2 linked regions of the Caenorhabditis elegans genome follow. Changing the gene in region 1 together with any one later gene gives a genetic interaction. Each region holds a gene or a part of one and is shown in the gene's direction. Other genes may lie near its edges.

Region 1 (4,792 bases):
TTTAGAGCTTTTCTCTGCGATTCGATGGCTCCACGAATCCACGCGTCATCCTCCTGCTGCAAAGCCAACCGGGAGCGTGTATAATCCTGAAAATCCACGGATTTGAAGCGAAATTCTCAGATTTTTACCTTCAGAGCGATGGCTCGTTCGTCAATTTGCTCCAAGGTGAGCTCGGTGCGTGGGCGGCGGCGTTCTCTGTAAGAATTCCGAGTTTTTAGGCAGAAAATCGCTGAAAAACCCGATATTTTTCGCGGATTTCACGTCCAAAGTGAGCTCATCCACTGGTTTCGGCTTTTTCGAGTGCTTTTGCATCTGACGAATATCCTTTTCCAGCCGTTTTCTGCGTCGGGTCTCTCGCTGCTTTGCTACCTGGAAAATTTTTGAATTTTTTCTCAATTTTTATTAAATTTCCCGTTTTATTCAATGAGTAACTGTAATTTTCTCTACCTCCGGATCAATTTTCTTCTGTCTTTTCATAAAAACCGAGGAGCCGGCGGGAATTGTTTGATGAATTTGGCGGGTTTGAAGTAGGGAGAGCCGGGAGAGGCTCGCAAGCAGGCTGGAGCTCATTTTACCTGGAAAAATTGGAATTTGAAGTGATTTTACATCAAAATCATCAAAATTCTGAAGAAAATAGTCGAAAAAACCAAGGAAACCTCCTAAAAATCAACAAAAACAATAAAAATTTAATAAAATAAATTCCCAAACGACACTCCGCTATCCCACCCCCACGCGTTGTTCACCGTAAATCTACACAAGCTCCGTCTCTCACTTCCCCACACTCTCTCGTCGTCCCTAATCGATTTTCGGACAATTTTCCGCGTTTTTATTGACAATTTTTGAGTTTTAATAAGGATTTGGCAGCTAAAACACTATGGAAACCATTTTCGAAGACGAGGAGACCATGATGGCTGCTGAGCAGAGTTCTTCAGGGATTTCTGCCAATTGTGAGTTTTTTATCAAATTTTTATTAAAATTCAGGTTTTTTTTCAAATAAAATCGAATTTTTTTTCAGCAAATAGCAACTGTAGTGCATCGAAAACCGAAAAAGCGTCGAAAAAACCGAAAAACGCCATTCCAAAAGTCAAAAACTCTGGAATTCACAAGAAACCCGCCAAATCGGACTTTGACGAGTTTCTGAGCAGCATGAAGAGCCGATTATCTCAAGCTACCAGTATGAAAAGCGTACGTTTTTTAGAAAAATAAAATTTCCAACCTAAAAGCCGATTTTTTACAGAATAAAGAGCAACTCAAGATGTTAGAGGAGACGCAGAAGCTTATTTTCGATAGAATCACAAAGTCAGCCGATGCGCGGGATATGGAACATTTGGAGAAGCAAATGAATAAACTTTAAATGTGCTTTCTTTATTTTATTTTTTTTTTAATTTTGTGGCAAAAATCCATGTAAATTTGTGAAATTATGTATCAATCGCTGTCGAAATAAATTATGTATTTTTTTTTTATCATGTATTATTCAAATTTTAGAAGAAAATTGAGCGAAAAACTGCAAAAAAACCGCAATAAATAGCCGAAATAAATTGTAAAATCAAAGGCGCATGACATTTCCCGTCTGTTGGGTCTCGCAGCGCGCGTCTGACGACGCTCCGAATGCCGCCGAAAACATTGTTTATCCTTTTCTTTTTCTCTCCCGCTCTCTCGTTTTTGCATGCTCTCTCGTCTTCGCTTTCGAATTTAAATGGAAAAATGCAAAGAAATTAACGAAATAAATTGAAAAATGTTATTTTTCAGCTAAAAAATGATGAAAAACGATGAGCAGGACGATGTGGACGTGGTGAATGTGCCGACAAATATCGATTTTCAGTGCAATTTATGCGAATACGTCGGGAAATCCGATCGAAGTCTCAGTGCACACAAAAGACACAGACATCCACGGCCAGAAGGTCAGGAAGATGATAAAAAACCAAGGGTAAGGCGGATATTTCAAGATTCTGATTGAAAAACGAAAAAAAATTTAATTTTTTCCAGGGCCGACCGAAAAAATACGAAGATTCTCCGGTTCCACTGCAACGAGTCACCACAAAACAGCTTCTCGGCGGTCGAAAACGTCCGAAAACGATAGTGGAATGTGTGGATGATTCGGCAATAAGTAATAAATCTTTTAAAAAATCTGTGAAAAAACGATTTTTTGCTTCCAGGAACCGATAAAGAAGCTTCTCGCCTTCACGGACTCGGAATTATTGACGAAGAGACTTCCCTTGGGGATTATGTTCGCCGTGGAGCCAATTATCAGCTGATGGGCGGCTCGGACATGAATTTAGACGGAAATTCCATGATTGTCGGCCAAGAAGTGGTTATTGATCATGAGGAAGACGAGGAAAATGACGATAGTCCTATGTTGGATTCGGTAAATCGAGGAAAATTTGTAAATTTCGAGAAAAATTTTCGTGAAAATTGAGCCAAAACTGATGAAAATGGACGAGAATATATATTTAGCATACCCAAAAATGGTCTGCTAAATATTTAGCAGACCCAACTTTGGACTGCTAATTATTTAGCAGACCCAACTTTGGTCTGCTAATTATTTAGCATACCCAACTTTGGTCTGCTAATTATTTAGCATACCCAACTTTGGTCTGCTAATTATTTAGCATACCCAAAAATGGTCTGCTAATTATTTAGCATACCCAACTTTGGTCTGCTAATTATTTAGCATACCCAACTTTGGTCTGTTAAATATTTTGCAAACCCAAAAATGGTCTGCTAATTATTTAGCATACCCAAAAATGGTCTGCTAATTATTTAGCATACCCAAAAATGGTCTGCTAATTATTTAGCAGACCCAAAAATGGTCTGCTAATTATTTAGCAGACCCAAAAATGATCTGTTAAAAATATTTAAATAATTATGTAATTACATTTTAACCCAGAAAAGCCCGAAAAATACGTAAAAAACCGCGAAAAACTCAAATTTCACCTCAAAAACCTGCTAATTCCTTCAGTTTTTCCAGAAATTTGTTCAAAACCGGACTCGAACTGCATTCCGCCGGTACCCGAACGATCGTCTACCGGACAGACTTACCATTGGAGATGCCAACGGAAAATATAAGTGCTATATGCCGGATTGTCTGTGGAAAGGCGGCTATCGATCACTTCGTATGGATCATATGAAAGCGATTCACCCCGAATGGAAAATGCCTTCAAGGTGCTGGAAAAATCTATGATTAACTAGAAAAATCGTGATTTTCGGCAAAATTCGACCTTAAAATCGTGAAAAATGACCTAAAATTGCTATTTTTAGTCGAAAATTGAAGGAAAATGGCAATTTTAACCAAATGTCCCGTCAAAAAATCGAAAATTTCGAATTTTTTGCGAATTTTCACTTTAAAACTCGATTTTTTACAGATTCCTGCTGGAAAGAATCTCGAAAGACGGAAAATACGTAAATCCGGAAGAGCATGTGCCTCAATACGCTTGTCAGGTGAAAGGATGCAATTGGAGAGGAAATTTCCGGGCTTCAAGGTGAAAAATGGACCAAAATTCCCGAAAATTGGCTGAAAATGAGCCAAAAACGTTCCGACCAATCAGCGACGTTGGCCACGCCCCCTGCACATCGCTGATTGGTCGGCATTGAATTTTTCGTTTTTTTCCACTATTTTCTAGTGTAAAAAAGATGATTTTCATCATTTTTAGGTGAAAAAAATGGTTTTTGAGATGGTTCCAGCTGAATTTTTACTGAAAAACTTGAATTTTCAGCCAAAAACCGCCAAATTTCCAGATCTTCACACATGCGAAAAGTGCACCCGAATGAGCACGCTGAACGTAAGAGAAATGCTCCAGGATACAACTCAAATGGCACATACAACTGTCATTTTCCACTTTGTCAGTGGCGGGGATGGTCCCGGTCGACCAGAAGCACACATTTACGAAAAGCTCATCCCGAGTGGCGGCCCGATGATAATCGAGTCATGGTACGGGCTTTTTCGGGCTGAAATTTGAATGAAAATGCTGAAAAATTGCAAAAAATCGTGAAAATTCGACTGAAATTCGTGAAAAATAATAAAATTGGCTTAAAATGGTTCAAAATTGGCTTAAAATGGTTCAAAATTGGCTTAAAATGGTTCAAAATTGGCTTAAAATGATCTAAATAGCCTTAAAATGATCTAAATAGCCTTAAAATGATCCAAAATTGGCTTAAAATGGTCCTAAATTGACTTAAAATGATCTAAATTGACTTAAAATGATCTAAATTGACTTAAAATGATCTAAATTGACTTAAAATGATCTAAATTGACTTAAAATGATCTAAATTGTCTTAAAATGGTCCTAAATTGTCTTAAAATGGTCCTAAATTGTCTTAAAATGGTCCTAAATTGGCTTAAAATGGCCCAAAATTGGCTTAAAATGGTCCAAAATTGGCTTAAAATGGTCCAAAATTGGCTTAAAATGGTCCAAAATTGGCTTAAAATGGTCCAAAATTGGCTTAAAATGGTCCAAAATTGGCTTAAAATGGTCCAAAATTGGCTTAAAATGGTCCAAAATTGGCTTAAAATGGTCCAAAATTGGCTTAAAATGGTCCAAAATTGGCTTAAAATGGTCCAAAATTCCAATTTTTCAGACGGTTTTGTCGTGTTTCTACTGCAAAAGCTCCTTCCACACGTACGCTCAGCTGGCTGATCACACAATAACTCACGGCGGCTTGGCACTTATGATTTCTCAAAGTTTCGACAATAAACACCATTTTTCGGTGAGTTTTTAGGCAAAAAATGTGAAAATTCGAGGTTTTTAGGTTGAAAATCGGCGATTTTTGCGATTTTTTCCCCAAAAAATTCAGA
Region 2 (8,067 bases), on another chromosome or scaffold:
TAGGAAAATCGAAAGTATGGAGCGTTCCCGATAGGCCGTGGGCTTGCAATGGAAAGCATTTATTGTTTAACACGAATTACAAGAATCAAGTGGTAACAAATATATTCGATTTAATTCTGCATTAAAATAAATTTATTTCCAGAATAATTTGGCGATTCACGTTGAAAGTTTAAGAACCACGTGCCTTGACTTGAAACGGCCTTCACTAATTATTGATGTTCGAGGCGATGAATTCCTTTTTGAAACGATCACAGCAAACGCTTATTCTCGTCTTTGGCATTCTCAATTGGGCTCACAAAGTGATGGTAAATTCACGGCATCGCTGTTATGCACACACAAGCCAGAAAACGATACGATTCACAATTTTCACATTTATCCAATGAGTTTTCAAAAAATTGGCAATTCTGCGATACTCTACATGTTGCCGGAATGTGTTTCTCCCGGATCGAAGTTCCCGCTGGTCGTGGTCCCCTTTTCCGGATTAGAACCTAATTTCACCGTTAGGTAGATTTTTTTTCTTTAGACTCAAAATTTATTGAAAAATCAACAAAAAAAGCATCGAAAGAATTGCAAAATTCACGGATCGAGCTTTCAATTTCAACCGCAATTTTCTATCTTTATTTTTTTAATTTAAAAATGTTCAAATAGCAATTTTCCCTGTTTATAAAGAATTGATTTATAAATTTAAAATTAAATTTAAATTTTCAGTACCGTTGACCCTGTGCTCTCTACAATGGTAACTTGTGGCTTCTGTGTGCTAGTTGTAAACTATCGGGAGCCATTTATAGCAATTCCAGGAACCTGCTTTCCAAAGAATTGTGGTTCGGAATGTATTAATGATGTTCATGTAGAGAATCGTTCGTTTTTTTCCTCATTTTATGATTTTTTTTACAGGAAACTGTACTAGAAGTTCTCGAGAGACACGGAGCGCGGTTAGATGAAAAATATATTTACTTGTATGGATTTGAATTTGGATCTTTTGTGGCGTGTAGTCTGATTATCAAACATAAGGTGGGATATTACATCGACGCGAGATTCTGCGATTTTTGGTGAAAAATACAATACCCGGTTTCGACACGACATGTTTTCTTCAGAAATATTTTGAAAGTTTTATTGATAGATCCGTCAGTTTTGCGACATTATAGTTAAAAAAAAACAAAGTCTCTGATTTCGGTACTCCACCTTTAACTTTCAAAAAATGTCGTGTCGTTACCCCGATATTTTTCTATTTTTGGCACGAAAATCACAAAATTTAGCGTCTCATGGATTTTCATATTTTTTAATTCACTATTTTCAGAAATTCTATAAAGGATGTGCACTCGTACGGCCGATGCTCGAATTTCCATTCACAACGTGTGCAGTTGATACAGAAAACCCTGAAGCTGAATTTCTGAAAGACGTGGAGCCGGTCTCACATGCGTCTGAAATTGTTACTCCGATGTTGATTGTTCTGGAGAATAAAAGCGATACAAAGTACAAAGATTTTGAGTCTACAATTCACAATAATGGCGTTCCGTGTTTTGGAGAATACGAAGAAGAAGACGAACAAGTGAATGATTTCGTTGTGAAAGTCATTCAATTTTATAGAACACCATATGGAGAATACGAGAATGGTTCTAGAATTGAAACGCCGGTTCCTGATGATTAATTATTTATTTTTTCTTTCTTGAATTATTACTAACTTATATTGTTAATTCATTAAAAAAACGCCGATTAGAACAATGTCTACATCAGCTTTAATTCGTTGTTAAAATATGTTACAAATTGGAATTTCGCTCAGTTTTAAATTTTTTATGTGTCGTTATGCTCAGATATATATTTTCTTTTTTTGAAATCTCGAATAAAATTTGAATTTCGTTAAATATATAACTATCGTTAAAAATCCATTGAAATAATATTTGCAAATCGATAATCTTTTAGATTGTTCAGTAGAGCGCGTCTGCACACTCCTCACCCGATTTGAATCGGAGCATTTATTCTAAGTTTATTGACGTCTTCCTCGATAAAATGTGAGTTTCCCATCGAATAAATTATAAAATCGCAATGAAAATTATTTCAATTTAATTTCAGATGACATTAGTAGCTAGTTCCGAAAACACAGGGCTCTGTCCAATGACATTTGATGATAGTTCTGGGCAAACCAGTCATATGTGTAAGAGTTTTGTATTTAATTCAATCTTGGCTTGATAATTAAATTAACTTTTATTTTTCAGTGTTCCAACGATTACAATATCAACGAAAAACCGGCCGATTTTGTGATGTGGAAATTGTTGTTCAAAACAAATCATTTGCGGCTCATCGAAACATTTTAGCAGCTCACAGTCCATATTTTGACGCAATTTTCAAATATTGCAAAATCACAAAGGAACAGCTCACAATAAATAGCAAATCTCCACAAGTTTTCGAGTTATTCCTCAATTATATGTACAGTGGAACAGTGATTATCGATCGATCAAGTGTTTCGGAGCTATTGAGATTTGCAAATAATTTTCTGGTAATATTATTGATTTTTCGATCGACTATTCCTGCTATAATTCCGTTTTTTTCAGATAGTGAAGCTAAAAGTGTATTGTGCAGCTTATTTGGATCGATATCTAGACGCGGCCAATTGCTTATCAATACGAACGTTAGCTCAGAGATATAATCTACCAGGACTTGTGAAAGTAAGAATTTGAATTTTTAAAGCTTTAAAAGCGAGAAACTTCGAATTTCTTTTTTCAGTCTGCTACAGACTACTTTGACAGCAATCTTAATCGATGTTTACTGGAATCCAGAGATATAATTGGTTACACGTATACACAACTGACAAGACTCATTGGAGATCCGAAATACGTGGATTGTATTACTTCTGACACTTATTTAAAGTGAGTTTTTTCGTTCCAAAATGACTAAAACAGTAATTTTTTCAGATTAATAGTCCGCTGGGTCGGTGAAGAAGTATCGAAGCGAGAGGAAATCTTCCGATTACTACTAGAATCCTGCGAATTTCGAGAAGTTTCAGCTGACACACTGGAATTTCTTCTGGATTACTCGCCGTTGCTATCGAAAAGTCAGAAAAGTCGATTTTTGCTACTACATGTCATGTAAGTGGAGTTGTTAAAGTTTACAAAATTATTACTGATGAAATAATTTTTGTAGGGAAACAAATAACATGCTTATGGAAAAGTACTCGACTCAACTGAGCAGTCTTCGTCAGAAAATCGTTGATCTTCCGATTCTCCACGATCCATCTCAATTTGAAGATGATATTTATGATTCAAGTGATTCTGAAGAGGATCCAGATGATTATATAGCTGATGGACATCCAACATCTGCACAAGTTGTTGAATACGGAAATGATGTTAATAATCGACTGAAAATGAAGATTGCATTCCAGCCGGGAAATGAGAAGAAGCGGTTAGTGATTATATGAAAAAATTGATAAAATTCAATGGAAAATTTTAGATTAAAACGACCAAAAGGAATGAAAAAACATCATTTGCACCCAATTCCACCGATTAATGCGACGGAAAATGAAAGTGAGCTGGTTTTTTTTCTCAAAAAAAAAGGGATTTTGTGAAATTGTAAAATCAAAAATTGAAGAAATCTTCTGTCAAATTCCTTATCAATAAAATTTCCAGGTATTCCATGGATCGACGAAGACGAAATTGATGGTGTATATGCTACATGTTCATTGGAAGGATGTCATACCTATGGACCAGTTGACAATTTGGATCCAGATGATTGTGAAGATGAAGAAGATCAACCTGATGAGAATGGACCGTCCACTTGTATTTTCTGTGGACTGCGGACTGCAAATGAGGAGGTATTGACAAAAAATAAATCAATTAAAACCTTGAAAAAATGCGAAAAAAATATTATTTTTCTCAAATTTAAACCGTCAATATGATTTATTCTATTTTTAGACGTCAAAAAGGTCTCGACACACCGAACAATGGGCTACAGTAACCTGTTGTCGGTGTGGTGAGACCTGACCAGATTTTGGCGAAAATTTCATATTTTGGCGTTTATTTAATATACAAAACTCGACACGACGATTTTTGGCTACATCAAGAAAATTTACGCCTTTAAAGATTACTGTATTTTCAATCTGAGGAGTTTTTATCGATTATTTTTAGTTTTTCGATAAAATATATTTATTTATCAACCAAATATTCCGAAATTTAAATAGTTTTTAAAAAGCTTAAATTTTAGAAAAAAAAACTATGAAAAATCAACAAAAACACCGTACAGTAATCTTTAAAGGCGCATAATTGTTTTCGGTTCTAACGAAAATTTGTCGTGTCGAGACCAGGCTCGAAAATTGCAAATTTTTGTGTCTATATAATATATATCTTTAAAAATATTTTTTTAAAGAATTACAGCACAATTTGGAAACTTTCATGCATAATTTATTTTTTTAAAAATATTTTGATGTAAAGTTCCATATTTTGGGAAAATGTAAAAACAAACTCGTGTACGAACGATCTTCTGCTGGTTTTATGAGTTTTATGTTCCAAAAAACCAAAAAAAAAAAAAAACCAGAAAAGTGTTGTAAAATATTTCGATCGATTCTTCAACAATTTCCTCATATTTTCAGCTTCTCGAAAAGCACAAAGCTCGTCATCACAATCGCAATACGTATTATATGTGTCATTTATGTGAATTTGAAACCAATTGGAGCAAACAATTCTATCTTCATTGTGCTGAGCACTGGACAGAGATACCGTATCGATGTGAAACGTGTCCGTTCACTTCAAATGAGATACAAGAGTTTTTGACCCATAGGCTTCAGCATAGTGAGTTTTTACAAAAATTTTGGAAAAAAACGTACATTTTTTAATTTTGAAAAAAAAACTCTTTTTTTTTGAAACTACAAAAAAATTAAATGTATTTTCAGATAAATCGTTTCTTTTTCTGAAATTCACAATGTTTCTTGAAATATAAACCTATTTTCATTTAAAAAACCAAATTATGAAAATTAATTTTTGTAAAAAAATTGATCGATAATGTTTTTTTCATATTTTCAGAATTTACCAACAATATCAATTTAAATTTTTAATTAATCTCCAAAAAATCGAATGAATAGCTAAGCTTTCAATTTTCTGTTTTTTTTTTAAATTTACCATCAGACACACGTTGACTTTGCCGAAGGAAACACATTAAAACCGAAAAAAAACGGCTGAATAAAATTGTTTTCCAAAATTACTTTCTAAAAGAAACAAAAAAACCCTCTAAAATTGTCAAATTTTCAGCCGACGAGCGTTTCTTCAAATGCGGTGAATGTGCATGGAAAGGTCGAACTCGTTCTCAACTGTTTGCTCACGAACGAATGCATTCTGTACTCGATGATCGATCATTACACTGTGAAGAGTGTGGAAGAGGATTCCAACAGCATAGTACATTGGATCATCATGTTGCTAGTCATAATGATCCTAGGTAAGTTTTTACTATGAAATTTCGAGATCTGAAAGTTAATAATGTGCGAATTTGAAATAAAAAACCATGCAAGATCTGATTTTGAGGCAATTCCAATTTTGCTAGTAACGTTTGGAGGCAATAATAATAATTGTCTCAAAACCAAACAAGGCGACTTTTATTCAAATTCAGAATTTTCACAATTTCCATCAAATTCTTCCAAATTTCAGGCCTTATATCTGTGAGGATTGCGGTTTCGCCACCAAAACCGCCGATCATCTTTCCCTTCATCGTCGTCAACATACTGGAGACAATTTTAGCTGTCACATTGGTCAGTTTGTATTTCCTGTAACACCACGCATTGGAATACACTGAATGCCAGAATAGTTCCGTTATCACCTGCCAACCGATCCATCATTTGGATGACTTTTGCGCAGTTCACTTCTACTTTTTTCCAACCAAAAACCCCCCTCGCTGCGTCTCCTTATCACCCGTACTATTCCATTAATTTTCGTTTCTCCTTGGCGACACAGCGCCGCCTTTTCCGCACAAAAAATGGTCGAAAAAACGAAAGAAAACGGCGGCTGAAGATAGAAACAGTGGTTAGATCATCTGTGGATCATATCACTTTCACTTTTTTTTTCTGCCGAACACACACTGGGGTACTGTAGGTATTTGGTAATGGTTTTATCGTCGCGCTCGACATAAAATCATTTCGACGTGTTTCATTAGTTTTTGCGCTTTTGCAGAGAACTTTTCTCAGAGCTTCTTCTTCTCCAATGCAGGGCCTTTCCCAGCTCGCTTCACGCTGTGCGTAATTTTTTCGAGTTTTTAAACATGGAGTATTGTTTAAACAGCTATGGAGTTGATCTGAGCAATTTTTTGTTATTTTTCCTATAAAATGACATATTTAAAGATCCTGAAAACTACACTATAAAATGACATATTTAAAGATCCTGAAAACATTACTGTTAATTTTCAGCCGGTTGCGACTACTCGTCGACCAAAAAAAGCCAACTGGCGGCCCATCTCCGTACCCACATGGCGGTTCGCGCCCATCTCTGCAAGATCTGTGGCCGTGGATTCATCGAAAAATCACATCTGGTCCGTCACGAGAGGATTCATTTGGAGGAGAAGCCGTTCAAGTGTGATCAGTGTGAATATGCATCTAGTCGGCGTGATAAGCTTAAGGTTTTTGAGCATTTTAGATGATAATTTTTGATAATTTTCATAATTTTTAGGAGCACATCATCAAGCATCACAATTCGGAAGTGCTCACATTCCAAAAGACTCAACGAAGAAAGTATAAGAGACAGAGAATGTTGGCTGCCGCGAGCAATATTGTGAATAATCCGGATGCTCTGTTCCGTCCAATTACTTCTGATGATGCTGTTAGCAATTGGCAGGCTACTAATGACTTTTCGGTAGGTTTATTGAATTAACGAAGAGCCAAGCGACAGAATTTCTGAAATTTCGCCAATTTTTCCTTGTCGAAGCAGCTGAAATATAGTTTCTTTCAAACTATAACCCGTTATTGCATATATTTTCGGTACTAGATCTTGCTTAAATTCGCCGATTTAGGCACTATTAAAGTCAATAAGCATCCAATTTTGGTCATATTATGCCAATATTGATGATTTTTGGATGCCTATCGACTTTAAAAGTGCCTAAATCGGCGAATTTCAGCAAGATCTAGTACCGAAAATATGCAATAACGGGTTATAGTTTAATAGAAACTATATTTCAGCTGCTTCGACAAGGAAAAATTGATGGTTTTTGGGATTTTTGAAAAATCGGCCGTTTGGGGTTATACAAACTTAGAATCTAGAAATTTCTCATTTATCAATTTCCAGACGTACTCTCCGAATCCCAACGATTACGGTGGACCATCAACTTACGGCAACCCTTCATCTCCTCAGCGTGCCTTCTCAGTCGTTCATCCATCTCAACATCAACATCATGCCCAATCACCTGGCTGTATGTCTATGATGAATGTTCCATTACGGGACAATCATCATCAGATGCAGCGACAGGATTCACCGGGAGATTCTGTTGGAGGTGGTCAAGGAGGTGGTGGTGGTGGTGGACCTGAAGGATCAGACAATACACATGGAGTTTTGATGACACCTAACTTGGTGATGAGGTTTGTTACCTGTAAATTTTGCAAAAAGCAGTGCCGCATTAATTCTAAACATTATTTTCCAGATCTCCACATAACCGGAGTGCTGTCCAACCGCAATTCAACAATCTCTCCACAAACTCTGATCCACAACAACAGCAGCAACAACAGCAACTCCGTCCATTCTCACTTCCAACCTACGGACAAATGGATTTGGCTCAGGCGGCTCAACTCCAGCAACTTCAACAACAACTACAAGCAGCCGGGCTTCCACCGACTGGAACCCCGAATAATCAAGATAATTCCAATAATGCATGGAATCCGTGGAATGTACAATAATAAATATAGTCCTGAAACTGCCTAAAACCTCACTTTTGAAAAAACCCCTTTACTATCTTTGCCTTTTCTTGTAACATGTTTCAAATTGTTCTTAATGCCTTCATTTTGATATGTGTATGATCTCCTTGTTTAATGCCTAATTAGTCCTAAATGGTTTTTATGGTTATAAATAAATTTATGAAATTATAGATGACATTTTTAACTGAAACATT

What was found.
Region 2: of attf-3 (region 1) and eor-1, changing one enhances a phenotype caused by changing the other (phenotypic enhancement), as found in Caenorhabditis elegans (one large-scale study listed by BioGRID).

The regions. Positions count from the first base shown.
Region 1 is NC_003281.10:83,342-88,133, reverse strand, and holds the start of attf-3 (C2H2-type domain-containing protein), read left to right. Parts: upstream 1-1,749; 5' UTR 1,750-1,756; coding exon 1,757-1,927; intron 1,928-1,986; coding exon 1,987-2,107; intron 2,108-2,156; coding exon 2,157-2,365; intron 2,366-2,968; coding exon 2,969-3,162; intron 3,163-3,362; coding exon 3,363-3,479; intron 3,480-3,735; coding exon 3,736-3,928; intron 3,929-4,335; exon of another isoform or gene 4,336-4,393; intron 4,394-4,500; exon of another isoform or gene 4,501-4,553; intron 4,554-4,575; coding exon 4,576-4,704; intron 4,705-4,792. Other genes in the region: mrpl-40 (Large ribosomal subunit protein mL40), read right to left, coding at 1-86, 129-195, 239-369, 448-570; F54C4.4 (NAM-associated domain-containing protein), read left to right, coding at 875-947, 1,016-1,185, 1,238-1,354.
Region 2 is NC_003282.8:4,793,180-4,801,246, reverse strand, and holds eor-1 (Zinc finger protein), read left to right. Parts: upstream 1-2,059; 5' UTR 2,060-2,070; coding exon 2,071-2,152; intron 2,153-2,213; coding exon 2,214-2,494; intron 2,495-2,549; coding exon 2,550-2,663; intron 2,664-2,721; coding exon 2,722-2,864; intron 2,865-2,909; coding exon 2,910-3,083; intron 3,084-3,138; coding exon 3,139-3,396; intron 3,397-3,444; coding exon 3,445-3,518; intron 3,519-3,620; coding exon 3,621-3,805; intron 3,806-4,579; coding exon 4,580-4,778; intron 4,779-4,834; exon of another isoform or gene 4,835-4,983; intron 4,984-5,234; coding exon 5,235-5,418; intron 5,419-5,627; coding exon 5,628-5,728; intron 5,729-6,379; coding exon 6,380-6,588; intron 6,589-6,638; coding exon 6,639-6,821; intron 6,822-7,250; coding exon 7,251-7,540; intron 7,541-7,602; coding exon 7,603-7,855; 3' UTR 7,856-8,053; downstream 8,054-8,067. Other genes in the region: dpf-7 (Dipeptidyl Peptidase Four (IV) family), read left to right, coding at 1-92, 143-504, 709-847, 895-1,011, 1,298-1,648.